Regions from separate parts of the Mus musculus genome. Here all the other regions are reported to be linked to region 5. The links are microRNA targets in miRTarBase. Many come from high-throughput screens and were not tested one by one. Region 5 holds a microRNA gene; each other region holds the end of a gene's coding sequence. Distances are between the middles of the regions.

What was found. The annotated mature microRNA mmu-miR-466q reads GUGCACACACACACAUACGU and lies in region 5 at 2,234-2,253, shown strand. An mRNA with a match to its seed (bases 2 to 7 or 8) in the 3' UTR can be bound and repressed. Matches are read on the target gene's strand: a 7mer-m8 pairs with bases 2 to 8, a 7mer-A1 pairs with bases 2 to 7 and ends in A, and an 8mer does both.
Region 1: miRTarBase lists Slamf7 as a target of mmu-miR-466q. The part of its 3' UTR that is shown has no 7-base or 8-base seed match.
Region 2: the mRNA of Dennd4b is a reported target of mmu-miR-466q. Seed matches in the 3' UTR shown: 7mer-A1 at 2,864-2,870.
Region 3: the mRNA of Btg2 is a reported target of mmu-miR-466q. Seed matches in the 3' UTR shown: 7mer-A1 at 1,393-1,399 and 8mer at 1,693-1,700.
Region 4: miRTarBase lists Uggt1 as a target of mmu-miR-466q. Seed matches in the 3' UTR shown: 7mer-m8 at 297-303.
Region 6: miRTarBase lists Aldh1l1 as a target of mmu-miR-466q. The part of its 3' UTR that is shown has no 7-base or 8-base seed match.
Region 7: miRTarBase lists S100pbp as a target of mmu-miR-466q. Seed matches in the 3' UTR shown: 7mer-m8 at 1,385-1,391.

The regions. Positions count from the first base shown.
Region 1 is chr1:171,631,644-171,635,709 of GRCm38, reverse strand. Slamf7 (SLAM family member 7) reads left to right here. Exons shown (of 8, transcript NM_144539.5): 8 at 714-3,307. The coding sequence ends at 785. Among named protein-coding and RNA genes, the nearest start is that of Mir7683, 8.2 kb to the left of the region's middle.
Region 2 is chr3:90,279,396-90,283,461 of GRCm38, reverse strand. It overlaps Dennd4b (DENN/MADD domain containing 4B), which reads right to left. Exons shown (of 28, transcript NM_001356483.1): 26 at 3,919-4,066; 27 at 3,778-3,842; 28 at 2,797-3,685. The coding sequence ends at 3,540. Among named protein-coding and RNA genes, the nearest start is that of Mir7012, 11 kb to the right of the region's middle.
Region 3 is chr1:134,073,658-134,077,723 of GRCm38, reverse strand. Btg2 (BTG anti-proliferation factor 2) reads left to right here. Exons shown (of 2, transcript NM_007570.2): 2 at 21-2,859. The coding sequence ends at 355. Among named protein-coding and RNA genes, the nearest start is that of Btg2, 3.5 kb to the left of the region's middle.
Region 4 is chr1:36,140,964-36,145,029 of GRCm38, forward strand. It overlaps Uggt1 (UDP-glucose glycoprotein glucosyltransferase 1), which reads right to left. Exons shown (of 41, transcript NM_198899.2): 41 at 1-3,288. The coding sequence ends at 3,263. Mir6897 (microRNA 6897) reads right to left here and starts at 3,350; the gene lies at 3,289-3,350.
Region 5 is chr3:28,417,755-28,421,820 of GRCm38, forward strand. Mir466q (microRNA 466q) reads left to right here and starts at 2,189; the gene lies at 2,189-2,264. The region is part of intron 2 of Tnik (TRAF2 and NCK interacting kinase); the gene reads left to right.
Region 6 is chr6:90,598,225-90,602,290 of GRCm38, reverse strand. It overlaps Aldh1l1 (aldehyde dehydrogenase 1 family, member L1), which reads right to left. Exons shown (of 23, transcript NM_027406.2): 22 at 3,906-4,066; 23 at 3,120-3,404. The coding sequence ends at 3,349. Gm15756 (predicted gene 15756) reads left to right here and starts at 2,351. Exons shown (of 2, transcript NR_157234.1): 1 at 2,351-2,674.
Region 7 is chr4:129,147,616-129,151,674 of GRCm38, forward strand. S100pbp (S100P binding protein) reads right to left here. Exons shown (of 7, transcript NM_001379590.1): 7 at 387-3,476. The coding sequence ends at 3,335. Among named protein-coding and RNA genes, the nearest start is that of Fndc5, 13 kb to the left of the region's middle.

The sequences.
Region 1 (4,066 bases), not on the chromosome of region 5:
AGTGGCACACTTGTGAATTAACTCTAAGACTGCATGGTTTGCTAAGGATGGAGAAAGATAAAAAAACAAAAAACAAAAAACATTTCACTTGGAGAATAATCTCTCTAAGGTAAAAGTAAACAGGAGGCCCTTGCATGGAGGAGCTATGGGTTGGGCACCTTTAGAAAGAGTGTCTGGGATGAAACGGTTATCACAGGTGACAGGGTGGGCTTTTGGGGTCCCACTTGGGGTTTAATAATAAATACATCTGCATAGTATAAGGCTGTTAGCCTGTTTGCTGGGGCAGTTCCTCAGTTAGCCCATCAGATCAACCCACCTTCCATGTGACTCTCTCTTTCTCACTTCGCTCTACTTCCCTGACCTGTTCCTGATCTGCTCCCATCCCTCTGCCCCAGCTCCAGCCTCCAGCTCTTTATTCCTCAGCTTGTATCTAGAGCAACAATGCTATTAGCATAGTCGGAGATATTCCGCTCTCCTGACAGCAGCTTGCCTCTCTTTGGGGGCAGGTGAAGAAGCTGCAAACATTTACATATCCTGCCAGTCTGGCACCACTCTGCAGAGCAATTGACAGTTGAGGATGGGGGAAGGGGGGGCACACACCTTCATAGCCAGCTGATATCTTGTGTGGGCGGGTGGATTATCCCAAAACAGTCTTCTGTGAGGGATCCAGAACTCTGCCCATGTTCAGTGTTTTTCTCCATGTCTGCCTGCAGGTAAAGAGTCCCAGCTCCCTGCCTGCAAAGCCACTCGTGCCAAGGTCATTAAGCTTTGAAAATGTTATCTAGATGACAGCACTCCGTCCTCTCCAGAAAAAAACAAAACAAAACAAAACTGCAAAACAAACAAAACCTCACCATTCTGAGCAGAAATGAAAACTTCTGTCAAAGACTGAATGTAAATGTCTCCCCGCCAGACCCACATGTTTGCATCCAGACAGAGAAGTTCAGGCTCAAGGGCTTTCAGGGTACAATGACTCTTGGGGACTGGGATACAGCCCATTCAGACATTCTGACTAAGAATCTCTCTATGCCCATCCTGTCTCCGGTAATGATGAATGAGGCTGTGCTCATAGACAGTGGACTAATTTGTCTGATGAAGAAATTTTTGACAAAGCACAGCATTTGGCTGTGGCACAGCCATGTTCGCTGTTTTTATTCACATTTATAGCTGTATGTAAATAATCTCAATCATTCAGTTCCCAGATAAAAGACACATAACCTTTTATATTTATTATAAGCCTTTATAGACTAGAGCTGGGCAGATATCTACCCTCTAAGCTATTTTTGCCTACTTCCCTATCAATAACCCCAAGATATAATTTGCCATGTTCCATCTAGGCTGCTCTTACTCCAATTGGCCCAGCCCTTATGGCCATATTTTCATGATTCCCCAACACAATGGTGTCTTCTCTCTCCACCGTCTCTCCTCATGAACCTCCTGCCTCAGATCCCAAGCCTGGGAACCAAAACCTCACCTCCCTCTCTTCTGCCCTGCTATAGGCTGCCGACATCTTTATTCACCCAGTAGTTTTAAATTAAGGAGCAGGGAAACATGGTATCACTTTGTGTAGGTGAGGATTCTCTAGTCCCAGAGGGCAACCAGACCTTGGGGACCAGTGACAAGTATTACAATACATAGCAACAGACCAAACCTCAGCAGAACTCAAAACAAAGAAAAGGAACAGGAAGATGGGAAAAGCATGCAGGTTGATAGACAGCATGAAGGGTTTTCAAATGGGTTTTTCAGCTTCGACTGTAATGGTTAAAGGGATGAGCCCAGACTGTGCCCTAGGACAAGAGAAAGGGGACACTGAGAGCTAAACCCTGTCTTTCAAAAACCCTATTCAAAAAAGCTTTCATTTAAAAGAAAGAATGCCTGAACACAGAGTGTCCCACATCGCACATCAGACTGTGGAAGTGTTTCTCTGGGTTCTCACGGTTCTCAGAGGCTGCTGGAGCCCTGACCCAAGCAGGTATGGCTCCATCCTGGAGTGACAGCAGAACTCAGCAATGTCCACACGTGCAGAATGTAAACTCTGGGGAGCCACTGAAGCTTGCACTAAGGTTCCAGGGGAGGAAAACCAGGCAACGTGTATCGAGGTTGGGCTTTCTGAATGGACCTGCCTTGTAAGCCTGCATAAAACTATGAAGGCAAAGCCTAACTTGCAGTTTAGACTCCAGGATGCTGGAGCTGCCTAAAACATAAAGGATGCTGGAGCTGCCCAGAACATAAAGCATCTACTAAGAAAATTTTCAGGCACTGAAAACACCCGAGAAAGAGGCCACGTGTGGTTTTGGTTGGAAGGTCATGGAAACAGGCCTCCTCAAACCCATTGGAACATACATGATGATACCATGTACCCAAGATGCCAGATACGGAGCTTCAAGGCTTATACCTCTCTGCTGAGTTTTCTCCTATCTTTGGCTCTTTCTTTGCCACGCCCCATCCCTCCCTTTTGGAATGTGAATGTTTCCTCTGCCATTGTGCATTGAAAGTATGTGAGTTTTCTATTTTTTAAGAGCTCACAACTAGGACTTTGCCTTACATCTCATAAAAGACATTGGACATTGAACTGTTATGGCTAGGGACTCTTGAAGTTAGATGGAATGTGTTTTGCATTGTGTGATGACCGTAGGCATATTGAGCCAAGACCTGTGAGCCAAGACGGGAGTGTTATGGATTGAGTCGAAAAGATTCAAGGTTGCGGGCTTGTGTGGTTCAACACTTGGTGTTATTTAAGGGTGCTGTAGACCCTATAGAAGATAGAGTCTGTCTGCAGACGGTGAGTCTCCAGGAGGCAGGCCTAGAAAGTGACAGTCACTCCTGGCTCTGGGCAAGCCTTCTGCTCCACCTCAGGCAGAATCCTGTCCACCATGTTATGAAGAAGCAGACATTGCAAACTCCCTCCAACACAGGCCAAGCCCCTAAAGCCGCCATGCCTCTGATGACAATGGATTATAACCTCTAGAACTCAAAATCGAAAGCAGGCCCTTCCCCTGTAAGTTGCTCCTGCCAGGATTTTGGCAGTGTGGTAGCTGATACCACTTCCTTCCAGAATAAGCTATTCTCAGCCTCTTTGGACTCTGAGGTTCATCGTCCAATTGCTGAGAACTCTCCTCAAACCCAGAATCTGTATTCCTTTCTGCCAGTGTGACTGAATCTGTCAGTTAGCCCAGAGAAAATGACTGGGAGATGCCTGAAATTGCTCCAAATAAGTCTATTAATTTATTAATGGAACCAGCAGCTATGAGCCAGGTGCTGTGTTACACTTTCATGGATTGTTGCAATACACTCACTCTTGCTTGATATCTCATGAACCACTTTATAGGGCGCCACAGAAATACTAACTACGGAGTCCCAGAAGGGTATGTAGGTACCAATGGCCAAAATGCACAAGGACAGAAAATCCAAACATACACCTATGTTTGTCTGGTACCATTTGAGGTCCTTTAAAGCAGATGATGGAGGACAAGGACCCCTCATCTGGACTTCAACTATACCTACATGCTCCAAGGGAACCGTGTACGCCCTGAGCCTACAGAGGAGTCCATCTTTAAAAATAGAGAAATAGCCTGCATACAAATTTTTGATCTAGTCTAAGACCTAGCATCACAGATAGAGTCTGGGGTTTGATGGCTTGAAAACCTTTACAGTTGTGTTTGTTTGTTTGTTTGTTTGTTCCCAATGAGTCTTTATTGAGAACCTCTACTAGGTTAGTCTTCTAGGTAAAACAGACATATATCCTCCCCCAAAAAATCTTATTTTCTTTTTCTAGTGTCATGGAAGAGACATGGGAACAGGTAGAGTAAGGGTGTGTGTGTGTGTGTGTGTGTGTGTGTGTGTGTGTGTGTGTGTGTGTGTGTGTGTATTTGATGTGCTCCCAGAACAAGAACTACATGTCTTCATGAGAATGCTGAAAGGGAACTAAGGTTCCAGGGTTGAGGGATATGAAATCAAGGAGACAAATCTATGTTTAAAAGAGAAGAAGCCAAGATGCTGTCTTGAGCTGATGGGAGGGGAAGTGAAAGCTAAAAATAGGATGTATTCCCCAACACGTGGCAACTCT
Region 2 (4,066 bases), 62 Mb from region 5:
CCTTAAATGACAAACATCACAGGCTATGGTGACCCAGGACTTTAATCCTATCAGGAGGCGGAACCAAGAAGATCTCTGAGAGTTCAAGACCAGCCTGGTCTATAAATTGACTGCCAGGGCTGTTATACAGAGAAACCTTATCTCAAAAAACAAACAAACAAGAAAGATGAATTAGCCTCACCCCCATTATTTGCACATGAACACAAGCTGAGACACAGCAGAACTCGTCTGACTTGCAATAGACAAAGATACACTTCAAATCTTTTACCCTTCAGCCTGTATTCGCCAAAATCTGGGAAGAGAAGTTGAGTCAGGTAATTTGGCCATATCTTAGCCCTCAATACAGCTCTCTAGGCCTCAGTTTGCCTGATAGCTAAGGAATTCTGGAGTTTTCTTTGGAGGACTTTTAACTCCAGTACTTGGTGGTAGAAGCAGTATTATCAAAAATTCAAGGTCATTTTGACCATGTTGCAAGTTTCAGGCCAGCCTGGGTCCAGGAAAGAGTACTCTAGACCAGTAAGACTCTGTACTCTTCTAGGGGAGGGGCTGAGATCTAAAATTGTCTTGCTATAGTCCAGTGCAGTACTAAGCATACTATAAACAGAAACTTACTTTAAGAGGACACATGAAAACTGGAGATAGCCCAGAGTGGTGGCGCACACCTTAAATCCCAGCACTAGGGAGGCAGAGGCAGGCGGATTTCTGAGTTCAAGGCCAGCCTGATCTACAGTGTGAGTTCCAGGACAGCTAGGGAAAACCTGTCTTGAAAAACAAAACAAAACAAAACAAAACAAAAAAACAAAAAAAACAAAAAAAAAAAAAAAAGAAAGAAAGAAAAGAAAACTGGAGCTATAGTTCAGTGGTAGAGTATTTGCATAGTGTTCAGGAGGCCTCTGGACTCGAACTCTACTATGGGGGAAAAAGTAGAACAGCTGGGATGTAGCTCAGGTTTAGAATAGGGTGAAAATGTCTGTCTAGTATATTTAAGATCCTAGAGCTGATCACCAGCAAAATACAGACACACACACACACACACACACACACACACACACACACACAATGTCACCTGATCAGAAACTGGATGCAATAAAGAGTAAGACAGAATCCCCACACCCATCCCTCCTCTCTCCTCTCCCCATTCACAGTGTTTCTCTGTGTAGCTCTGGTTGTCCTGGAACTCAGTTTATAGATTAAACTGGTCTGGAACTCACAGAGATTGCCCCTGTGTCTGGCTCCTGAGAACTGGAATTAAAGGGGTGTACCACCACCTCCTGGCAAAAGAGAATGTCTGAAATCCCTTGATTTCCTTCTTTACACCTTTGGGATACTGGAAAAGCATCCTCAGGACATGATGGAAAAGATTCTTTGGCTTCAAGAGCCTAACAATTAGAAATATTTATATTTATTTTCAAAGACAGGGTCTCACGGAAGCCCTGGCTAGCCTGAATTCTCTATATAGAGCAAGCTGGCCTAGAACTCAGATAACCTGCCTGTAACTGAGACTAATGGGGCGTGTGCCACCACCCCTAGCCAGAAATCTTTTTTTGTTTGTTTGTTTTTGTTTTGTTTTTCGAGACAGGGTTTCTCTGTGTAGGCCTGGCTGTCCTGGAACTCACGCTGTAGATCATGCTGGCCTCGAACTCAGAAATCCACCTGCCTCTGCCTCCCGAATGATGGGAATAAAGGTGTGCGCCACCATGCCTGGCTACCCCAAGACACTTGTATTTTTAGCTAATTCCCTGTGGTAATTGGTTTTTGTAGTTCTGCTAGAAGTTGTTTCCTGTATTTATTTCATTATACAGGAAAAAGAAAGAAAATTCCAAATGGGTCTGAGATTAGAAAAATAATGCGGGGGGGGGGGGGGTATTGGACTGACAGCTCAGCAGTTAAAAGTGCTCACTGGTTTCTCTTGACTCAAGTTTGGTTCTCAGCACCCACATCGGGCAGTTCACAACTGCCTGTAACTCCATCTCTAAGGGATCCAACACCCTGTCTGACCACTGTGCTACCTGCACATATGTGACACACACATACACATTGCTTGTTTTTTAAGGATTGGAAGGCTGGAGAGATCTAGCTCAGCAGTTAAAAGCACTTGTTCCTCCTGCAGAGGACCTGGGTGCTGTTCCTAGCATCTACACAGTGACTCTAGTTCAGGAATATCCAATACCCTCTTCTGGCCTCTGTGGGTACTGCTTACATGTAGTGCATATGTATACTCTAAACACACACACACACACACACACACACACACACACACACCACATATATACACATAAAATAGTCTAAAAAATAAAATAAAGAAAAAATGATGCCCATCTTCCTGGCATTCACACGTAGCAAGTTTAGCCCACAGTGAGGTACACTGGAGCTAGACTGACTAGAGAGCTGGGATGATCGCCATGCTTCTGAGATACAGAAGGGCCGCAGACAGCAACCAGTGAGGAGGGCTGTCATCTCCGTGAAGGTACTAAAGAAGCGGGGTCAGGGAGGGAACAGGAGGCAAGGAAATAAGGCAAAGATGAGCTCAGGGCCCCCAGAGAATGGAGCCTTTGTGTGGGGTACAGATGAGGGACAAGGGGGTGATTGTGTCGGAGGGCCGGAAGTGCCATGCAGACTGGCACTGCCATAGCCGGCACTGGCTTCATCCTTCTGCTCAGAGAACTCCCGATATATCAAGTGGCCAGGAAAAGTAGGGTATACCTGATGGTTATAAAACGTGGAAAGGCAGAAAAGAGAATGTGCAGCCAGGAAAAGTAAGGTGTCACCCCAAATCCAGAGAACAGGAGGCAGAAGAAAAAAAAGACAGAAGCAGCTTTTACTATATTTACATCCAAAAAAACTTTGCAGAGAACAATCCTTATTGCACAGGTCAAGGCCATGGATGGGAGAGGTGTTCCCCAAGGTGGAGTGGACAAGAGGATCAGGACTAGAAGAGGCACCAGTTCTTCCTAAGGGAAGCTTGGGACTCCTCTGGGTCCCAGAGCATGGCTCTCAAGGTGCTACAAATCTAATTCCCTTCTTTCTCACGCTCCTTGAGACTCCCATAAGTATAGGAGCTGTGGCCTCAGAATAAATAACTAAATAGAATACAACACTAAGATTGCCTTGGGCTCCTTTAGCAATGTCAGGGAAGAGACGTGGGGAATGAAATTCCTCCCTTCCACTCAGGGCAAAGGCTCAGGAGCTCTGAGTTTTTCCAGTTGTTTTTTAAAACAAAAACTTCTAAGTCTACCAGGGCACTGCGGATCTGAGGACACCCTGGAAAGGAGACCCTGGAATGGGATGGAGAAAGACGGAGTTGTGTCAACTTCCCTAGCTCTCCCCCACATCAGCATGAACAAACAGGGCAGGGTGGAGATAGGAGAATTGTGACTTTGGGTAACAGTGAGTCCCTCTTTCTACTATTCCCACTTGGAGCCTAGGCTGAACATCCTGTTCCCAATTCCTCTGTGAAGGGAACAGGGAGTCAGGCTATGTCTAGAATCCACTCTTCCGCACCTCTCCACTCAAGGCTGGAGAGGGGAGCTTAAGGGTCCCTAGCATTCCAGAGGTGCTCCAAAACACTTTCGGCAGTCGATGGCCTTGGGAGTGGGCATCTGTGCCCGCCGCTGCCTCAGTTCCTCCTTGCCCATGCTGCTGGCCAGCTTGTTAAAGGCAGACTTGTACTTCTTGTCGAAGGCCACTAGGATAGAGGATGGAAACCGATGCATTAGGACCTCCTTTCATACCTGGTCTCAAATCCCTTATCTCCTCAGTACCTGACTGTACCCTTACCTATATCCACGTGGTCCTTGCCCAGAGCAGCCATGGTCAGGAATAAGATCTCACGGTAGATTCCCCTGTAGTAGACATAGGAGGGGGTCAAAGAAAGGTACAAAGGACATGTCAAGGGTCACCTAGATGAGAGCGTCCTACCTCTGTAGGTGCAGGCCGGTGGGAGGGGGCCCTAGCGTCTCCAGCAGAAGCCCAACAGCTTTATGAACCTCGTTGAGTCCGACGTGGCGCAGCACTGACTCCAGTAATGCCAAGCTAAGACATGAGGGTACTGGGCCTGGCCACACCA
Region 3 (4,066 bases), not on the chromosome of region 5:
CCTCTTGTTTTTTTCCACAGATCATTACAAACACCACTGGTTTCCAGAAAAACCATCCAAAGGTTCTGGCTATCGCTGTATCCGTATCAACCACAAGATGGACCCCATCATCAGCAAGGTGGCCAGCCAGATTGGACTCAGCCAGCCCCAGCTGCACCGGCTGCTGCCCAGTGAGCTGACCCTGTGGGTTGATCCCTATGAAGTGTCTTACCGCATCGGGGAGGATGGCTCCATCTGTGTCCTGTATGAGGAGGCCCCGGTGGCTGCCTCCTATGGGCTCCTCACCTGCAAGAACCAGATGATGCTGGGCAGGAGCAGCCCCTCGAAGAACTATGTGATGGCCGTCTCCAGCTAGATAGGAGCCACCCGACCCTGGCACTCTACTGTTCTCATGCTGCCCTGACAACAGGCCACCGTATACCTCAACCTGGGGAACTGTATTTTTAAAATGAAGAGCTATTTATACATGTTTTTTTTTTTTTTTTTTAAGAAAAGAGGAAAAAAACCAAAAGATTTTTTTTAAAAAAAAAAGAAAAAGAAAAACAATTCTTTAAAGGGAGCTGCTTGGAAGTGGCCTCCCCAGGTGCCTTTGGAGAGAACTGTTCTTGATTGCATCTGTGAGCCAGTGTTTGCCTAGGGGAATGGGTTGGGGATTGGCCTAGCCAAGGTAAAAGGGGATTCTTGGCTGATCCCCCCAGGAGGTGGTGGAAGGGAGCAAGGTTAGCAACTGTGAATGAGAGGGGTCAGGGTCTGCTCTGGGTTACCGTCCCAGCTGGGATGCCTGTATGCCTGGTCCCTCTCTTACTCAGGGGCATTCAAGCCTGATCTTAAATAATACTACATTGCCTAATCTTCTCTTTTGTTTTTCGGCTGAGATCAGGGGCAGACTGAAAGGCCTCTCCTGTCCCTTCTGTTCTAAGCAGTCTCTTGAAGCCGTGTCTCGTTTCTGAGTCTACCCTTGGGGGCCTGAAGAGCTTGCTTCCCAGCCCGGAATCTGTCTAAACATTTTTTGGAGGGTGGGATGTAAGGCAGGCGCGCAAAGACTTTGGGGCTAAGATGGAGAGGACCTGCACAAAACCTTTGCTTTGCTCTGTGCTGCTTTGTATGGGTGGATAGTGAATAATTTAGGGATGATTTGCAATGGAATTTTGGGACCCAAAGAGTATCCAATGGGGGTAGGTCTTTTGGACCCAGTCCTTCCTTTTGGGAACCACACGACAGTCTGAATGCTGCTACCACTATTCCTTTGAGAGGTGGCTCAAAGCTCCAGGGAACTCCAAGTCCTTTCTTACTGCCTTCTCTTCAAGAGCAACCTTCCCCATTTTTTCTTTCCCCTTTCCTGCGGTTGGGTCCTGGAGGGCCCTATTTCCTAGGACAAGCGTTCTCAGTCACTGTGCAATAGTCCCAGGATGCTCTGAGACCGGACCTCCCAGCCCCTCCTGATGCCCTGGTAGGTTTTAGGGACCCATTCTTCCCATTCTTCTAGGGGTTCTGACTGGCTGGTGGGCCTTGCGGAGATCTTCCTGGGCCACAGGGAGGGCACCTGTGCACTGCAGGACTACCTGGTATTCTTGTAGGGCTGCCATGAAGAGTCAAACCTTGGGCACAGCTTTAGCTCCTTGGTGCTCAGAGCACCTGTGGGGGAGGTTACCTCTCTCTCTCTCTTAGTAAAATCCAAATTTATTTGTAGATGTGTGCAATATTTACTGTTCTGGGTTGGAGAAAATTGGGAAACACTGGGAAGAAATGGCTTTCCTTCAGGTTCAGTGACACTGATGAGGGCTTCTTAGAAGGCCTCAAGTCTCTCAAACTGAAGGACAGAGCTAGAGCTAGCCCGTCACCCCTTGGTGAGGATTCCCTTCCCCGTTTCTCTCCACCGCCATGGCATCCTGTGTCCTAGATTTCTCAGCTCCTCAGTTTCTGCTCAAAGGTGCTATTTACCAAACTCTCTGCCTGCCCGGGCAGACAGGCCCCAGCTTCGCACAGCCTTCCCAGGTGGCTTCGTCTCTCTTGCTTTAACCTTAACTCTGGGCCCACAGACCTGAGAGCTGTGGCCTACAACAAAGCTGTGAATTGTTCCAGATGGTTCTTGTGTTTTGTCCGCACACAGGTGCCTGCCGTTTAGAAGCTGCCTCCTGGTCTCATGCTTAAATCTTCAATTCTTTACTGTCCTTGTTCACTTTAGAAATGACAAACCCTAGAGCTGGACTGTTGAGCAGGCCTGTCTCTCTTATTAAGTAAAAATAAGAAATAGTGGTAAGTTTGTAAGCTATTCTGACAGAAAAGACAAAGGTTACTAATTGTATAATAGCGCTTTTATATGGAAGACTGTACAGCTTTATGGACAAATGTAAACTTTCTTTTTTGTTTTTAATAAAAATGTAGCAGATCGTGTAATGTGTAGAGAAGGTGGAATTCCATAGCGCTGACTGGCCCTCTTAGATACAAACCCCTTCGTGTTTCGTGGACTTCATCAGTTGTCCTGAGCTCCGTCTGCAGCATGCAGACGTTATAAAAGATACCCTAGGTTTGTGACGAGGTTGCTTCCATTGCATCCCCTCTCCTTGGGAGGCGGCTCCATACTTCTGTCCTTGTGAATATTGTCACAGGTCTCTTAAAAAACAAACAAACAAAAAAGCCCAAAAACCAATATGTTATCTGCACACTCTGCAGCCAGTTCCATAGTTTTGCTCTTGGCCATTCAGCACATTGAAGAGCTGGCCAGCTGTGTCCACATCTGCGCAAGCAAGCCACCACGGCTGGAAACTATATAAAGAAAAGAAACCATCCAGAAAGTTCCAAAGACACAAGACTTGGGTTTGGCACACACTAAGCACACCAGTGCACTCGATGCGACTGCAGTTATACACAAGCACACCCTGATGTTCCTCCTGGCGTCCCAGAGGTCACCCGTGAGGCCAGCGTCTGAGCATGGTTTGTTTCACGCCCCGTTCATGCATAGCAGCACTGGTCTACAGTGGCAGTGTCTTTACTGGGCATGGGCAGACTTTTCCTTGCTGTTCTGGAAACAGTCTAGTTTAACAACTATTTCCCATGTATTAGGCACTGCAGACCGTCTTAGGATTTAAAGTATGTGGGTGGGGAGGGGAGGAGAATACTCAAGTAAAAACTGCTAAGCCATTTTATAAAGGAGATTTTAGCATCTACAAGGCTCATGGAACCATTCCCCATGCAGATACCTAGTGATTAGGCTATATTGTCCATGAATATTAAAAGTAGTTAAAGCACACCCTGCTTTTCACAGACCCCTGGTGGTAAGCAAAGGATCACGACCCTTTTCACAGGTTGAGGCAAGACGATCTGCCATTCCTAGAATAGAGGCTCTTGTCACCTCGGCCACCATTTGTCAACTGCCATTCTTCTTGCCTTGTTAGACAGGATCATTTGGGCTTCAGGGTCTGTGCACTGGGGCCACACATGGCAGAACACCAGTGGCACAAGTTAGCTGGAGAGCAGCTCTTTCTGAGTGTACATGGGGTGAGACCCCATGGCTTATTATTCATTTATAACTACCTTTGACCACGTGGAGAGGGTCTATGCAAGAATAATAATCTGTCATGATCGACTTGGTTTTTCTTTAGAATTTTGTTATGCACTCAGCTCCCCACTAAAGCTACAGGTTCATTTTGACCCACACTGGATGTTTTTCTTGGCTAGAAGTGAGCTGCTCTGAAATTTTCAACTCTCTTTATTTCTGTTCATTCTCCATGACTTTGCATACAGATATGCAGTTTCTCCTGGGTGTTCTTGGTCACAGTTAGGTCAGGGAAGCTGTGTGCATCTGTCTGTATTCTGTGCCTAGGCTGGGAAGTCAAGGCATCTGGGTCACGAATAGAATTGGGTTGCCACAAGAACAGAGCCATTTTCATTTGTCTCTCTCTGGATGCAAGGGCAGGGTGGGGGTCTATGAGTGCTTGCCCTCCTCAGAGTTCTGTTATGTTATTCCATTCAAAGTTAGCATCTATCTTCTTGTTTCCTGAAAGGCCACACTCCTGAAAGGACAGTTCATCATCTAGTAGACAGCTGAAGGAAATTCAGGAAAGGT
Region 4 (4,066 bases), not on the chromosome of region 5:
CCTCAGGTGCATCATTTCCTTGAAGCATGCGGGTCTAACTAGGAAGGGTAATTTTAGAAGGGTAATTTAATGGAGGACACGCGGACAAGAGGAGTTGACTTCATACTGGTGACCAAATCTGACCAGTCCTAAACTATGCCAGTCAAGTTTGTTTCCTGTTTTTTGTTTGTTTGTTTGCTTGTTCTTTTCTTCCTTCTTTAGCACTGGGCTCTCAGCTCATCTTTCAGCAACTCAGACGAGAGCCAGGTAACATACCTGCCATGAAGTCTGCTCCTGACCAGACAGGCCCTGCACGGTGCACACATGCACGCCCCGAGACGACCATGCTCAACCAGAAATGTAGCCTCTGCCCGGGTAACAACGCCAACTATCTTATGAAACCAGCACATTACCACTCTCGACATGGGTGCATCCAGGATACTTCTAACCCAGGACTCTGGAGAGCTGTGCCCCACAGCCCCAGGTCCAGTCAAGGGCCGCTTTTCATGGATTCACATCGGCACAGTCTGACTTGTCACAGGTCACACTACCCTAGTGATTCAGAAAGGAAACACTCTACTGCTATATGACAGGAGGTCAAAGAACCATTTATTCGCAGGCCAAGAATGGCGGTGAGCTCTCCAGGAGCCTCAATAACCTGTCTGCTCAGTCACTTCCTGCTTCTTGGAGAATAGCTCATCTCTCTTTTCAGTCACAACATGCTTTTTCGTAGTGAGAATGTCAGGTGAAATCTGACAGGGACACCCTTCCAGGGCCACTTGCCGGCAGCAGCCCATTTGTGGCAGTGGCTTAGTTTGTAGAGATGATTTAATCCACAGGATGCAAGGAAGGACCAGGAAAGGGGGGGCCTGGACAGCTTTAGAAGGGTTTAGTTTAGGGTCTGGCCTAGCCAGCATCAGCTCTGAATATGACTTATGTCAGTGTAGTGACCCACGAGGGACTAAAGGGCCATAGGAGACCCATGCCTTCCTCTTCCTCAGAGGAGGCACACATAATTTGGTAAGAGAAGGACCCTGGCCACCGGGCCAGCATCTCAGAGCACTGACTATTCCTGCTCAACACTCCAGGCTCCCAGGGCACTGGGAAGACAGCTTCCGCTCACAGTCGGGCGCAGCAGCCCTGAGAGCTTAATCCAGGGTGGACATGAAGCCTGAACAAAGGCTGGCTCTTAAGCTAACTTTTAGATTTGAAAATGGGGGGGGGGGAGATATTACTTGATATATGTGTGGTAATTTTTTTATTTTTTGAAATTCATGTTGTAATATACACTGTATCAATAAATGTCAAGGGCTAGTTAAGCTAAGAAGCTATGGAACATGTTTGTCTCAAACGTATCCTCCATGGCCCTTTGTCTGGGGATGTGTGCCCCTTCCCTGACTTTATGACAAATGACAAAACACTTTGATAATCCAAGAGTCAAAATACATCGCTTGAAACAGCTGGGAAGTAATTTATTCCCAGACACCTTTCCAAGGTCAGAGGGCTCGCTACAGCCTGTCCTTGCTACCCAAGCGCCTGCAGAGGGAGAGGGAGAAAACCCTGCTGACCGACCGATGGTAGCAGCCCCCCAGCTCGTTTCTGGGGTGTCGTGAGCACCGAACTAAATGATGTTGTTTTTAGTGCTGCTCTTTGTTCTCTTATGTGGATTCCTGACCTGAGGGGACACTTGTGCTCTGCCCAGGACTCTCAGTGGGAGCTCCAGCTGACGAGGTAAGGGGGTTAATGCTGGTTCTCTGAATTCCCAATCCAGTTTTCTGTCTCTACTTATTACTTAACAATTGCCCACTCAAATCCCTAACCACGGCTCCTGTAGGCCATTCTTCCATGGTAACACACATATTACCTAGCTTGGACAGGCAAGAACTTAGTTACCCACAGTACTCATTCCTCATATTCAGTCTTTTTTTTTGGGGGGGGGGGGCTGGGGAGATACAGTACCAGACAGAAGGCCTTGGGCTTGCTAGACAAGCACTCTGTCTGCCACTGAGCCACACCCTGTGCCCAGCAACACTAACTCTCTGCTGTAGATCCCTGAGTCCTGGGCAGAGATGACACCACACACCCACACCTGTCCAGCCAGGTTAACAACACGTGGAAGGCTCCTCAGCCCAGGCTGCTCCCGAGGTGATGCTGGGCTGTGGCTGTGAACACAAAGCAGTGAAGGGTGCTGCTTCAGACAGCAGCAGTACCTTAGAACTGGACCAGACCTCGGCAAGTCTCGAAAGCCAAAGGGGACCCTCAGAGCCAAAGCACAAGGGAAAGACAGAGTGTAGGAAACCGAGTTCCAGAGACAGAGTCATTCCTGGTCACAGGTCTGAGAGCATTTGGGGGAAGAAACACCCAAAGTTATCCCCTGGGTCTGAGAGAAAACTCTACAAGGGAAAGGGCAGACAGTATGGTGCATCCAGACGGAGGCTGAGCACGCTGAGAGCGGTCACTGAGGGACTCAGGACGCCTGTGCCCAGCCAGGAAACTGATAACCAACAGCTTTTTAGAAAGTAAGAAGAAAAAGCACACATTTTCATAAATAGAAAAATTGTTTACAAAACAATTACCTGGACAGTTCACTGGGTACTAGACTGAAGAGAACGGCCCATGTTTTTGTCTTCCATCGAACACCCCAACACTCTCCACTACCTGCCATTTCTTCCAGCCTTATCCACACCACCCCGTTTCTCCTGAAGACTGATTTGCTTAGCAACTGCACTGAGCCAACCCTGAAGACACATGATTATTGGTTGGGCTCCATTAAACAACAAGCCTAGTGCTTGGGAAGGGGGGTGGGGAGGGGAAGAGACGTGAGAAGCATGTTGGCGTAGACCTTGAGGCATGGATGAAGCATCTGCCGGCCTGACCTGGTACAGGGTGGGCATCTGCACTGCAGCAAGGGCTGCAGGTAAACTGAGGTAAGGAAGAACATGGTGACCTTTCTGCCCAGCTTCTGGGCCAGCACAGCAGTGTGTGCTCTGGGCTGTGGGCACCGAAGGACTGGGCTTCTTGCAGTTGCTGCCGGCATTTCTCCCTCTGGTGAGAAGAAGAGTCCCAGAAGACCAGCCACTTGTCTTCCTCTGAGGTACAAATCCAACAGAGCCTTAGCCCCAAGGATCTAGCACCCACTAGGGTGCAGTAGTCTAAATCAATGCTCAGATCAATAGGTGTGGTACACCTGCCCAATCCGTTCATCAGCAGTCGTATCGAAAGATCAGAGAAAACAGCAGTTAGTCCAAACTGTCAAGGTGGGTTTCCCATCTTCCTCCAGAGATCATAATTCCTCATGCTTCTGAGAGCCTGGGGGAAGAACACAGACCGTGAGACTTACGTCATAAAACAGCGTGTGACACTGCCCCCAGCACAGCACTGTAGCTTCAGATGGTCTGTAGAAGCTTGGTGTTGGCTATTTCTGTATTAAGGGTTGAAAGCGAACCTAAGAGAAGAAGACATTTTTAGCTCTAAGAACTGACACGCCCTTGGGCTATACACGGCCTCCACCAGGGCAGCGCTGGCTCTCGGGGTCTCCAGCAGGGCAGAGCTGGCTCTGGGCCACACACTGCTGTGTGCAGAAATCTTCTGCACTTACACATTCTTTCTGTGAGCCAGGGCAGCTGTTCTTTGATCCTTAAACTGTTTTAAGGTTGCTGATCGGTACGTAACAGTAAAGTACATCTCTCCGTGTGTATTGCTTTTCCTGGAGTTATCTAAGATGCAGCCTCAGTAGAGGCATTCTTGCACAATGCACTTGCACTTTACCATGACTGTGTGCACATGCTATGGTGTGCATGCGTGCTCACAGCAGCTCTGTGGAGTGAGTTCTCTCCTTTGCTCTGACAAGAGACGTGGGAATGAGGACTCGTGTCATGAAGTAAGCACTTCTCCTGCTGAGCCACCTCTCTGGCCCATTGGTGCAGCATTTTCAAGGCTCCTTGTAAGAGACCTGCTGCTTTTAAAGCAAGGCTTTCCAGACACATGGACAGTTTCGGCAAGGCTCACTCACCAGTCTCACCCCTGCCCCCTAATGCATTGCACTACCACTCCACCTGTATTTTTTTGACATATCAGATATTAATGG
Region 5 (4,066 bases):
GGAACAAGTAGGACAATTACAAAAAGATCTTGTAGTTGGAAATTATACTGCCCAGAGTTAATTTTTTGAGGCTCATCATTTTGATGCATCACCTTCTAGACTTTTCAAAAATTCCAGTTTGGTCATAACAGATATACAATGATATGCCTACCATTATTTGACCTGGAGTTATGTTTAGGCATAGAAATGCATGTCGGTGTCGCAGACCCTGCCCTTCCTCAACAGCCCAGAGTGCAGAAGTTTGACTTGGACCCATGAATGTCCCATGGATATATATATATATATATATATATATATATATATATATATATATAAGCATTTCAAAAAAATTACCCTCTTTTTGAGATTATAATATAATTACATCATTATCCCCTTCCTCCCTCCAAACCCTCCCACAATGCCTTGTGCTCTTTCAAACTCATCGCCTCTTTTATCATTATTTATTGTTACACACATACACACATATTAGGAATGTATGTATGTATGTAGGTAGGTAGGTATATCTCTAAAAACATAAATACAACCTATTCAGTTAGAAACTATATCCATAACATCTAAACATGAGCTGAACAAGGGCAACACTAGACATGCTGAAGTAGGCAGTGGAAAGCCCTCCATCCTACACAAAGACCTACAAAATGCGGAGAACAGGAGAAATTGCTTATCCAATACCAAATGGACAGCCCTGGAAATATACATACAAGGGACATTATACACAGCTTGGCTTTTGCATATCAGAATGGTGTACAGGGGAGCTGGTCTCGAGACAAAGCAATGTTAACTGTAGATTCTGCTCTCTAATTTCTTTTAAGAGTGTATCATTTGTCACAGTGCTCTGCCAACTGCTAACTGCAGTATCGTTTGTTCTGTTGGTCCACTAAGAATGCCTGTTGAAAACACACAAGTGCTGCAAAACAGCGCCAGAAGAAGCCTTCACAACTCTGATTTCTGGGTCAACTGGTATTGGAACATGCTTCCTCGGGTGAGGGTTCTTAAGAAAAAAGATTGCTGGAAAGCGGGCACCAGAGTAGACAGAGACAGGCATGGGATGGGCTCCAGCTTCAGTTTTCTCTTTCAGTCTTGAACAAAGTACCGACCTCTTCTGAGCATCAGTATCTTCATCGAGAAGCCATGGGCAGCATGCATGCTTCTCATCTGATTAGAGAGTTGAGATGGAGATACATAGGGTGCTCCTGTGTGCAGCAGGACTCACTCATGACCTCGTTTCCTCTTCCCTTGTTTTTTACGAAGTCTGCAGAGAAGTGCCAGTGCCCAGATTAGTCAGTGAACGATGATAATGGCATGCTAATATTTATCCAGTGAAGCACTTTGCACAGAACTATTTGTATCATGTTTGTATAATTAGAGGAAACGCTTCTCATCATACATTATGATGTGAACTTTCCTTCCTAGGCTCCCGGTAATTAGATTTGGGTGAGGAAAAATTCCCCGAGTTGTAAAAATATACAAAAACTTTTCTCGAGTTTGCTTTGTGTTTTATATTTGTGACTAGAGTTTGCCATTTCTCTTTTTATTAGGTGCTCACCACAAGTATGTTAATGAGTGGAAGTAGTGGGTGAAAACTGGCGTTTGAGAGCCATGTTAGGTTTAAGCTGACATGAAATTCATATTTGGAGAAACAGAGTAGGATCCGAAGTGACTAGGTAGTATAAATGCTTCAGAAAGCCTCGGTATATTCCTTGAAGAAAATAGACAATTGGATACTTTTTGCTCTGGGCTGTGAAAACCCTTCTGAAGAATGTGGCATCTGGATTCTACTCAGCTGAGTCCACATGGGTATACTACTAGTAGACTTTACTACTATCTGGGGGGTAAGGTGGGGTTTGCAATAGGTGCAAATAAAACTTTATTGAAGTATTAAATGTATATATCACAAGAGAGTGCTTAACAGTGGGGTGGAGCAAAAAAAAAAGAGCTGAGAAATTTTCATGCAGAAAACTGAAGGAATTTAGTGAAATTCTTTATTTTTAACTCCTTCCCATGCTTGAAACAGGGGTCTCTAGTCTAGCCTGGTCTTGAACTCAGTCCTCCTGTCTTAACATCCTGGGTGTTGAGATTACAGGCAGTCACTACCATATTTATCTAAAGTCTACCTTAGGAAGACCCCTCTACTCCTGAAACAGTTTTAAAAATCTCCTTTATATTCTTATTACCTTCTCTTTAGTGTGTGTGTGTGTGTGTGTGTGTGTGTGTGTATGTGTGTGTAGTATATGTGCACACACACACATACGTACCCATGCATGCCATATCTCATCTCTGGAGATAATAGGACAACTCGTAGGAGTCAATTTTCTCCTTTACCCAGTAGTGCCCAGAGACTGATCTCAGGTTGTCAGGCTTGGCAGCAAGCACCCTTACCCTCTGAGCTGCCTTATAGGTGTGCTTTATATTCTTAATACTACTGAAGAGTGCAAGAACCGTATGTTTGGATGGATTGTCTACCAGCATTTATTATAGTGCCAATAAATGTGATTTCATTAAATACAATAAGGACTTTTTAAAGCACAATATTACTAATGCATAACACAATGTCCATTAGCCGCAGTGATGACATCATCTTGTGGCATGCAGCCTCTGGGAAACTCCACTGTACAACTGTGGGGCAAGAGCGAAAATAGCATTTGATGTCATTGTATTAATATATAAAAAGGGCTCCAGAGACTCAGAGGACCTCGGGCATCTCTGAGGACAATTGTAGTGGCTTGTAGTCACTAGAGAGGTCACGCTGATCTGTCCTTCCGTAACCCATCACTCCATTCCAGGATGAATGACATTATTCACAGGGTTAGAAATGAAGAAGGCAGAATTTCACAAGTGGCTCGTGGCCGAGATTTGGTACTGCAGGAGCACAAGAAGAACTACAACAACAGAAGCATTTCATTTGCCATCACTGTGTATCTTTGCATAAGTATTTTTTGCACAAGTTAGGTTAGATCTACATCAAATGAAAAGAGTGGATGTATTTTAGTCAAACTGTGTTAGGAACTTCTGGCCTATAATAGCAGCCAAACATGGGATGTGTGTGCAACCTCCAAACTGGGAAACACTTAAGAGGTGTTTCCTTGAGCTCCTGGCTTGCTTGGCTAGGGCAAATATGACGAGGAGCCTACCAGGTGCTCTGCTCAGAGCTGCAATGGGGAAAACCCCATCCAAACGACAGCAGAGCACACTCAGCTAGTAACAGCTAGCTCTCATTAGCCCCTCACCCGATACAATTAACAGAAAAGAATGAAAGACAGAATAAGCTTAGGAAACAGGTAAAGGGTGGTTTAAGTATGGTCTTAATTCTTTTGAGACAACCATCCCTCCTCTCTCTCTCTCTCTCTCCTCTCCCTTTTTTCCCTTTAATGTGATGTATTTATTTTTATTTCATGTGTATGGCTGTTTTACCTGCATACATGTCTGTGCATCATTTGTGTGCTAGGTGACTGTGGGTGGGAGTCAGTCTCAGTCTATCTAGATTTACAGATGGGCTGAGCTATCATACTGGTGCTAGGAACCAGATTAGTGTCTTCTGTAGGAACAGTGTGTGCTTTTAATTCTGAGCCATCCTGCTAGCCCCACAAGTGCCCCCTTTAAAGCAAACATCTGAGAGTGGCCACAGATCCTTTGAATATTTTCCCTAAATTCACACTGGAGGAGCCACCTTAAAACACAAAGTCTCCTGCCAAGTCTCTCCTCTGGATTGGCCCTGCTGGATTGGTCTAGTCAGTTCCCATCACCATTGGCTAAGACATCTGGCCACTAGGACGCAGAGCACACAAACATTGTCTTTGCAAAAGCTCAGTCAGCGTTGCTGGGACGCACCTTCACCCTGACCACCAGGAGCTTATTTCCCCCATTGATTTGTCTTTCCAGTTTCCTGTGGCTTTAGATCTTTTCTTTTACTCTTTAATGAAAATCCACACGAATGAGACCTTTTGCTTCTAAAATGCTAAGTTGTTGTTATTGTTTTTTGGGGGGTTGCGTGGGGGGATTTTCATTGTTTAGAATTTGTCCTGATGCTCAAGAGATTCACTGTTGGTCACCCAAATGAAAGGCTGTC
Region 6 (4,066 bases), not on the chromosome of region 5:
GGGCATCGTGGTTGCTGTTTTCAGGTAAGAAACGGAATCTTGCCCACCAGAAAGAGTCGGGCAGTGCCAGAGTCAGAAGGCTGGGCATGCTTCTGATGCATTAGCAAGCCTCTCTCTCCCTACAGGTCCTGAGCTGACACTGGACTGACTTTCAGAGACAACGACTTACAGCACTTGTCAGTGTGGACTCTGCGGTGGCCTCAGCACTGTTGCTGTTCTGTCTGGAGGAGGACGGTGGGAGCCAGGAGCAGCTGATCGGCCTGTGGGGCCACAGTGGGGACAGCTTGCATGTAAGTTCTGCTGCCGTCTGCAGACCTGATTTGCTGCAGTCCTCAGGGACAGCACCCAGGGAGCTTAAAACCCCCTCCTCTCAGGACTGACCTGATGCCTTGAGGAAACTGACCTGATGCTAAAGATAGGTTTAGCTGACTGCACACGAGGAGGAGCTGGCAAGGGGCGGGGGTTATCCCAGGGCAGCTGGGAGAGCCAGAGCACAGGGTCTCCTCACAGGACCCAAATCTTTCTCCTTGGGACCTTGCAAAGGGCCTGAATGATCTCATTGGTGGTGGTGGGGAGGGGGGCGCAGCAGATGTGAAATGAAGAAATGTCAGAACGGAGGCCAAACCTTGTGGCATATTTTAAATGTTACATGGAGCACATGCAAGATACATACAATGCGTAGAATAACAACTGCAGATTACTAACGTGTATGTGCAAACACAGGTGAAGAGGCTAGAACCCAGAGCCCCACACACCAGCATGACTGCTCCCCCACTGAGCTACCCCCCCTTTAGCTGGCTGTGGGCATGTGGTAAAGGGTGCAGACTGTGGGATGTTTCTATTTCCAGCCCAGCTGAACGTGAACCCTGGGCTCACAGACTCAGCTTGCCTTACCTGAGAATGAAAAGCCTGTGTTTAAAGGCAGAAAAATCCCTAAGCTTTACAAGATGAAAAGGTTCTGGAAAAGGAGGGAGGTGGCCGTTGGGAATGACAGAGTGGGGTTTAGTGTTACAGTGCTACATCCTTATCCTGCCTTAAAATGGGCAGTGGAAGTAAACACACATCTTTCCCTTCCACGGGCATCAGGAAGAAAGGCCGGATGTGCACCCTGCCACCCAACACACACACACACACACACACACACACACACACACACACACACACACACACACACACACAGACCAAGAACAAACCTCACAGACACCTGTAAGAAGACCTCTGAGAGGCTGCAGCCTAGGTGCAGGGAGCCCTGGGGAGCAGCCCACTTTACCCTCTATATGGAATAGAGCTTTCATGTAGAGGGCATGGTCTGGATCTCCCATTAGGAACTGGTGTCCTATAGCTGTGGCCTGAAAGTGAAGGCTTCAGAGATATTCCCAGAGACTCAGGACCCGGGTTTCTGTGTCACTTCGCATCAAGGGCTTCAAGGGTCTCTTGGTTTGGGAGGAGAAAAGGAGCTTCGTAGCAGCCGCAGGTCCCTGAGCAAGCTGGCCTCTGTGCTTCAGTGGGCTAGTCCTTCACTGGACTACAGCATGTGCAGTACAAATGTGTGGAGAGGATTTAGAAGCCTGCATGGCACGCAACATTCGACAAGCTATTGTGGTTACCATTGCTACTACCAGTGTTCACATGTGGGAGTCACACAATCTACTGCCCCATGTCATCTTGGTACTGGGATAAGGTCCAAGAGCTTTGCTGTCAGGCAATGTCACTGTGCACGTCACAGCAGAGTAAACTCTCATAATCTAGATGGTCAAGGTCACTCACTGAACATGATCTACTAGGGACATCTTGCACACACACCAGACAGATAAGGTTGCTGCAGGTATAACACTGTAACTGGTTTCAGCACACACACACACACACACACACACACACACACACACTCCACTAATGGACTAGAGAAACGGCTCAGGAGTTAAGAGCTTGCTGCTTTTGTAGGTGACCTGAGTTTGATTCCCACCACCCAAATCTGTCAGCCTTCAACTCCCTGTAACCCTGATTTGATATCTTTTATATCCTCTTCTGATCTCTTCTGGTACCTGCGTGCACGTGCACATAAACACAAACACAGAGACAAAAAAAATAATAAAATAAATATTTTTTAAAAAACCATATACACCGATTATCACTTAGTGGACACATGGCCAGTGACAGTGTCACTGTGACCACCCAGTTTCCTATTCCAACAGCCATGTGGTGGGGTTTACACGGCCCCATCACGTATACAGGATGAAGTGTTTATGTCACATCGCTTGTGACATCATACATCACATCAGTTGTGACGTCATAGGTGGTAGGAATTCTCAGATTTGCTACTCTGGAATCAATATTAGGTATGTGGCTTCTCACTGACGAAAATGTTACTCTGAGGCATGTGCCCCACTTAAGAGAAGGGCAGGGATGCGGAGGAAGTCCGGGATACTACATAGGCCTGAAATCTTTGCGACTGATCCAGGTCACTGCCTGCCTGGCCAGGGGAGTTAGAGAAGAACAGAAAGGCCTTTAAAGAATTTTGGACCAAGAGAGGCAGAGCCAAAGAAAGGTGGTAGTGGTTGGCATGCCAAGAAGAGAATGTTGGGTAAACCAAGGCAATAGCAAATCTGTTGAGATGTGGTATGTGGGACCTCCAGAATGAAGAAGGTACAGAGGAGAGGGCCTTGGGCACCCACGGGTGAGTGCATAGGAGTCAGAAGCCTTGCAGGGGCTGTGCTCCAGGCTGGGGTGGTGTAAGATAAAAAGAAATGCAGATGGTAGAAGATGGGAGTGCTGTCCAGGGAAATGTCAGGCTGGGTGGAGTCCCTGCTGTAGACCCCAGGCTACCATTGTGGCTGTCCAAGTCCACTGAGTGAGAACCCGGGTCCTGGCAGAGGAGACTGGGGTGCTTGATGGCCCAAGGCTCACTCCCCAAGTCTCATTTCCTGTTTCTGGGGCGCACCCTCTTCCACAGCCTCTTGTACCCATTCTGCTTTTGGAGGTGTGTGATGTGCATTTCCTCCTGTGTCCCACTAAGGGGTCTCGTTCTCTGAAGGCCAAGTGATGCTACATGCTCAGGACTCATGGTGACCACTGCCTCTGGTTCCATACGAGGCATCCATAGACAGAGCAGTGACACAAAGTGTAGGCGACCTCTGCTCACAATTTTTATTCATGGGGGACATGACTGCTCACTCCACTTGGAGCCACTTCTGATTGTTCAGAGGGTGTCCTGTCACCAGCAGGGGTCCAGGCCAAGAGCTCCAGCAGCTGAAAGGAGCAGTGCTGGGGACAGGAGGGTGCTAAGTCACCAGACAGGGTCAGCACTCCCTGAGGTCAACAGGGTACAGGAGAAGTATCACAGTCTTGGCTTCAGTACTCAAAAGTCACAGTCTTGATCCGCAGGTACTCATTCAGGGCCGCCTCTCCTGCAAGATAGCACCCACTGTTGGGACACCTTATGGGTGTGCAGGGGACCCCTCCGGGGAACACACCTGTGAGTAGCCTGGCTCTCTACAGATGAGAAACCAAGCCCTGAGGAAATCATGCACCCAACCCAGGCCATCCCTGTAGTAAGCTGTGGGCTCGGGCACCAGTGCAGGCAGGAGAATGATCTGGGGCAACCATTCTAGAATCTTCCCTGCTACATTGATGGTAGAGGAGGTGGTATGGATGCCCTACTGGCTATTGGCAGCCAAGAACTTATCCTCCTGTCCTCCTGTGACTAGAATATGTTATACATACATATCCTTTCCACTGCTGTCTCAGCAAGTACATCAGTCCCAAGAGTGTTCCCTCCCAGCTAGAACTGACCAGCCACCAGCTGTGTTGATCAGTGTGACACCCCAGTATTGGGGACAAGACCTGGCCCTTGGTGGCCTTTGACAGGTGTTTGCTGGAAAGCAGTCCCACAGACAGGGTTTCGTTACCCAGGTCTTTGCCAAATCCAGACTGCTTGAATCCTCCAAAAGGTGCGGCCACATCGGTCTTGTTGTATGTGTTGACAAACACAGTGCCCGCCTGCAGTTTGTCACTGACATACAGGGCCTTGTTGATATCCCGAGTGAAGACACCAGAGGCCAGGCCAAAT
Region 7 (4,059 bases), not on the chromosome of region 5:
TGGAACCGCATGGTTTCCTAAACATACACAGTGGCCGGCCATGGATCCATGGGAAGGGAAGGAATGCAAGGCACTGCCCTCCCGCCCGCTACCGGCTGCCTGGTCTCCCCCGCCCTCTGCACAGGGATATTTCAGGCTCTCCCAATGTCAGGCTCCTGACATGCACCATATGTAGCTGCAAATCCTAATCAATTGCAACATTTCTTAACTGCTGGAACGCCTTCCCCAGCACTGTAATTTACCCTCAAAAGAACAGGGAGCAAGCACTTTCTCCTTCCCAGAACCATATTCTACTAAATGCCGCCACCCTCCCAAGCAGAGCGACCTACGCAGAGGAAGGCAGAGAGTGCTCCTCCAAAGCCCGGAACAGACGGCCACAGTACATATGCCACTGACGAGAACTTTTATTTCTTTTTAATGACATTAAACACAACTGCTACAAGGGGAAAAACATGATAAAAAAGGAGGCACCAAACTTCAGTTTCATAATCGACCCCGACAACAACTCGAGTAAATCAGAGCCCGATGAGCTGCAGAGCTATTGTTATTTCGGCTCCTGACCTACACAGGAACTATTTATCAACAACACATTTTAGCTTTGCTTTGTCAAGACCCCTATGGTAAGAACGTCCCCAGGGATGATAAAAGACAGGAACACAGTTAAATGCACATAACCCTTACTCAAATTTAAAAATACAGCAAGAATTAATTTAATCTACAAGACTTAGAGGCCAAACCCAAACATAAGAGATATGCAGCTCTGAAGAGATTAAGCCCCGGCTTCTGGCCAGTACCATCTTTAAGGCTAACATGCCGGATGAGTTTTCTTTGGCTTTTTTCTCCTTAAAGAATACCATGTTAACCAGTACAGAACAGCTCTCTCCTCCCCCAGTCCACCAGATTTAATTAGCTGCTAACACTTTGGAAAAACAGAATTATCTGCGCTAGAGGAAATGTGATTGTCACATTTTCTAGTTAACCTGTCACTCATCTGCTCTGACAGAGGCAGCACTCCCATTATACATTCAGTCTTAATTCCTCCTGGTAGCAGGAGAGCAGGAGCTTTGCTGTCCCTCCACTCCCTGGGCTCCCCGTGGGAACCATTCAGCCCCAATGCTAGCTACTCCAGCGGTAGCTAATCTGCACTTTGTTTTGGTCCCATAGGTGGGTTGTTTGGCATATCTCAGTCTAACAGGCTAACTCACAGCATCTTGGACAAGTCAACTGAGGTCAACAACAAGCGTGCCCATCAAGAGAGGTGACTGGACTACTGCCTTTCAAAGTCTGGTCCCAGAATCTAAACCAAATAACTAAGAAATAGAAAAGTCTTTCTGGGGGTGGCGGGTGGGGCGGGGGGGGGGATGTCAAAAGCAGGGAGTGGTGGTGCACACCTTTAATCCCAGCACTAAGAAGGCAGAGGCAGGTGAATCTCTGTGAGTCCTGAGGCCAGCCTGGTCTACCCAGACAGGAGGGCTACATAAAAAAAAAACCTGTCTGAGGGGTGAGGGGCTGGAGGGAGAGAAAAATCAGAAGTGCAAGACCATCTTGGGTTAAATAGTGTGTTGATGGCTAGCCTAGGCTTTATAGGAGACCCTGCCGCAAAAAAGGAAGGAAAGAAGAAAAAACTTTCACTAGATAAAACTAACACACACTTGGGAACATTTATCCAAACCTATTAAAGGCTTGAAAACAAAACAAAACAAAACAAACAAAATCAAGATTTTCCTAATCACAGTCACTTTTTCAGTCCAACAATGGTGATTCATCCTTTTACTCCCAGCAGTGAGAAGGCAAGGTAGGCAGAGCTCTGTGAGTTAAGGCCAGCCCAGTCTAAGAGCGAGTTCCAGGACAGCCAGGAGTATACAAAGAAACCCTGTCTTGAAAAGCAAAAACAAAACAGAACAAAAAGATCATTTTTCTGAGGCAGAGTAGACTATTCAGGGTGGGTTAGCCACATATAAAATGAGACAGAGGCTAGGCAACTATGAATCACTCCCACAGTGACTGCAGCAGCAGGAGTGTCATATTGTAAACCCTCTCAGAATGATCTCTAGAGCTGCCTGTAAGAAATACAGATCTTTTAGGACATCCATTAAGACAGTACACAGAGCCTAGCGCTTTGGTTGGAACACCACACCTTACGCGGTGCATGGTGGTGGTGCGGTGCACGGGCTCAATCGTACTTTCCCAAGATGCTCAAACACTAATGTGAAACAATGGACCCAATGCTACAACTACAACGCTAACATCCAGGGTATAAGGGTACCTGTAACCAACGGGAGAGGCCAGTGACTCTCCCAAGGATTTCATAGGACGAAGGTTCCTTGAACAGCAGCAACACATAAACTCGGGTTCCGAAGACAGAACTGAAGATTCCTAGACATCCCAATTGTGCTGGCCTAACAACAGTCAGGATTCTGTGCCGGCCTAACGACAGTCAGGATTCTGACAGGATTTCTTCAGCAGACAGAGGGCACCTGAGAGCCATGTCTCAGTCTAACAGGACATAAGAACACTTACTGCAAAGCTTCAGGACTAACCGGTCACTGGGAGTGGGAAAAGGAAAAGAAAACAATGGGGCAGAGAAACCAACCAGTCACAAGACCACAGAGTATTGAACAAGGGTTATTCAGCTGTCTTCTGTCAGTTAAGATGTGTAAGATTTCAAACATTATGAACGAAATATATCTAATAGAGAGTGAAAAAAGCCACTAATAATTTTTTAAAAAGGCAGCTAATAGGTACAGAAAGGAGAGGATTTACACTTTTAATCTAGCCCTTCAACAGGACTTTTCTCCTTCTCCTATTTCAAATGTACTGAATTGGCAACATTAAAATACTGACAAGTATTCAAGAAACTCAAATTTAAAAAGAGGGGTCGTTAAAAGTGACTTCTATCTATTCACAAGTCAACAATAATAATACCGGCTCTTAGCTTGCAAAACAGCCTCTTCCTTACAGTAGACTGGAAGGTGAGTCTGCCTGCCCTTACAGCTGGTATTTTACTCAAAGCCTGACTGTTCTGACTTAATGCAGGCCTTCAAAAGAGAATTACCTTCATTTAAAATTTAAAAACAGCAACAACAACAACAACAGTGAACAAACAGAAAAACAATACTTAACACTGCTGAAACATATTCACCAGACAGACATACAAATCAGGGGTGGGGGGTGGCCCTCATTAAAAAACAAAAATTCAAGACAGTAATGGGCATTTCCAAAAGGTGACAAATTCTTTAAATAAAAATCTTGTGAAATAAAACTCAAAATATACAAACAAAAATAGCAGAGGAAAATGTGATGCTGCTCTGGACGGGACCCTTGGCAGGAACTGTCACTGTTGATGGGATGAGACATATGGACTGTAGGAGAAGTCTGGGAGACGCTGGAACCGATGGTGGCTCCGCTTGTTTCTGTCAACCCACTGACTCAGACTGTACCTCTGCAGAGGCCTCTGTCGGAACCGGGCGTAGTTTCTATTGAGAGAAGGAGAATAAAAACAGGAAGCGTTTTCAGCTGGAACTGTCATCTGTATACGAAATAGCTAGCACAACTACTTTTAAAGCTATGTTTAGCCAGGCAGTGGTGGCACACACCTTTAATCCCAGCACTCGGGAGGCAGAGGCAGGCGGATCTCTGAGTTCTAGGCCAGCCTGGTCTGCAGAGTGAGTCCAGGACAGCCAGGGCTACACAGAGCAAGCCTGTCTTGAAAACTCCTAAGGACTGTAAGGATCAGATTATATGGTTGCTGTTGTCTGTCTGTTTGAGACAGGGTTTCCATGGAACTTACTTGTTGGGAGCAACCCTGCTTGAACATTAACTGCTTTACTGCCTTGTCAGCCCTAAGTGCACTGGCACAAAGTCCTGGCCTCTGTGGGAAAGTACTAACCCCAGTCAAGAACAAAGAGCTATAGATCTTGTGGACAGGTACCTAGCAACCCATTCTGTTCTGTTCCTCCTGCTGAACTTTTTACCCAGCCAATAGCCTGCTCTTGGGAACAGGTGCATTCCCCCAGAAACAAAGCGGCCCCCTCCACCCCACTTACCCCATATCCTGCT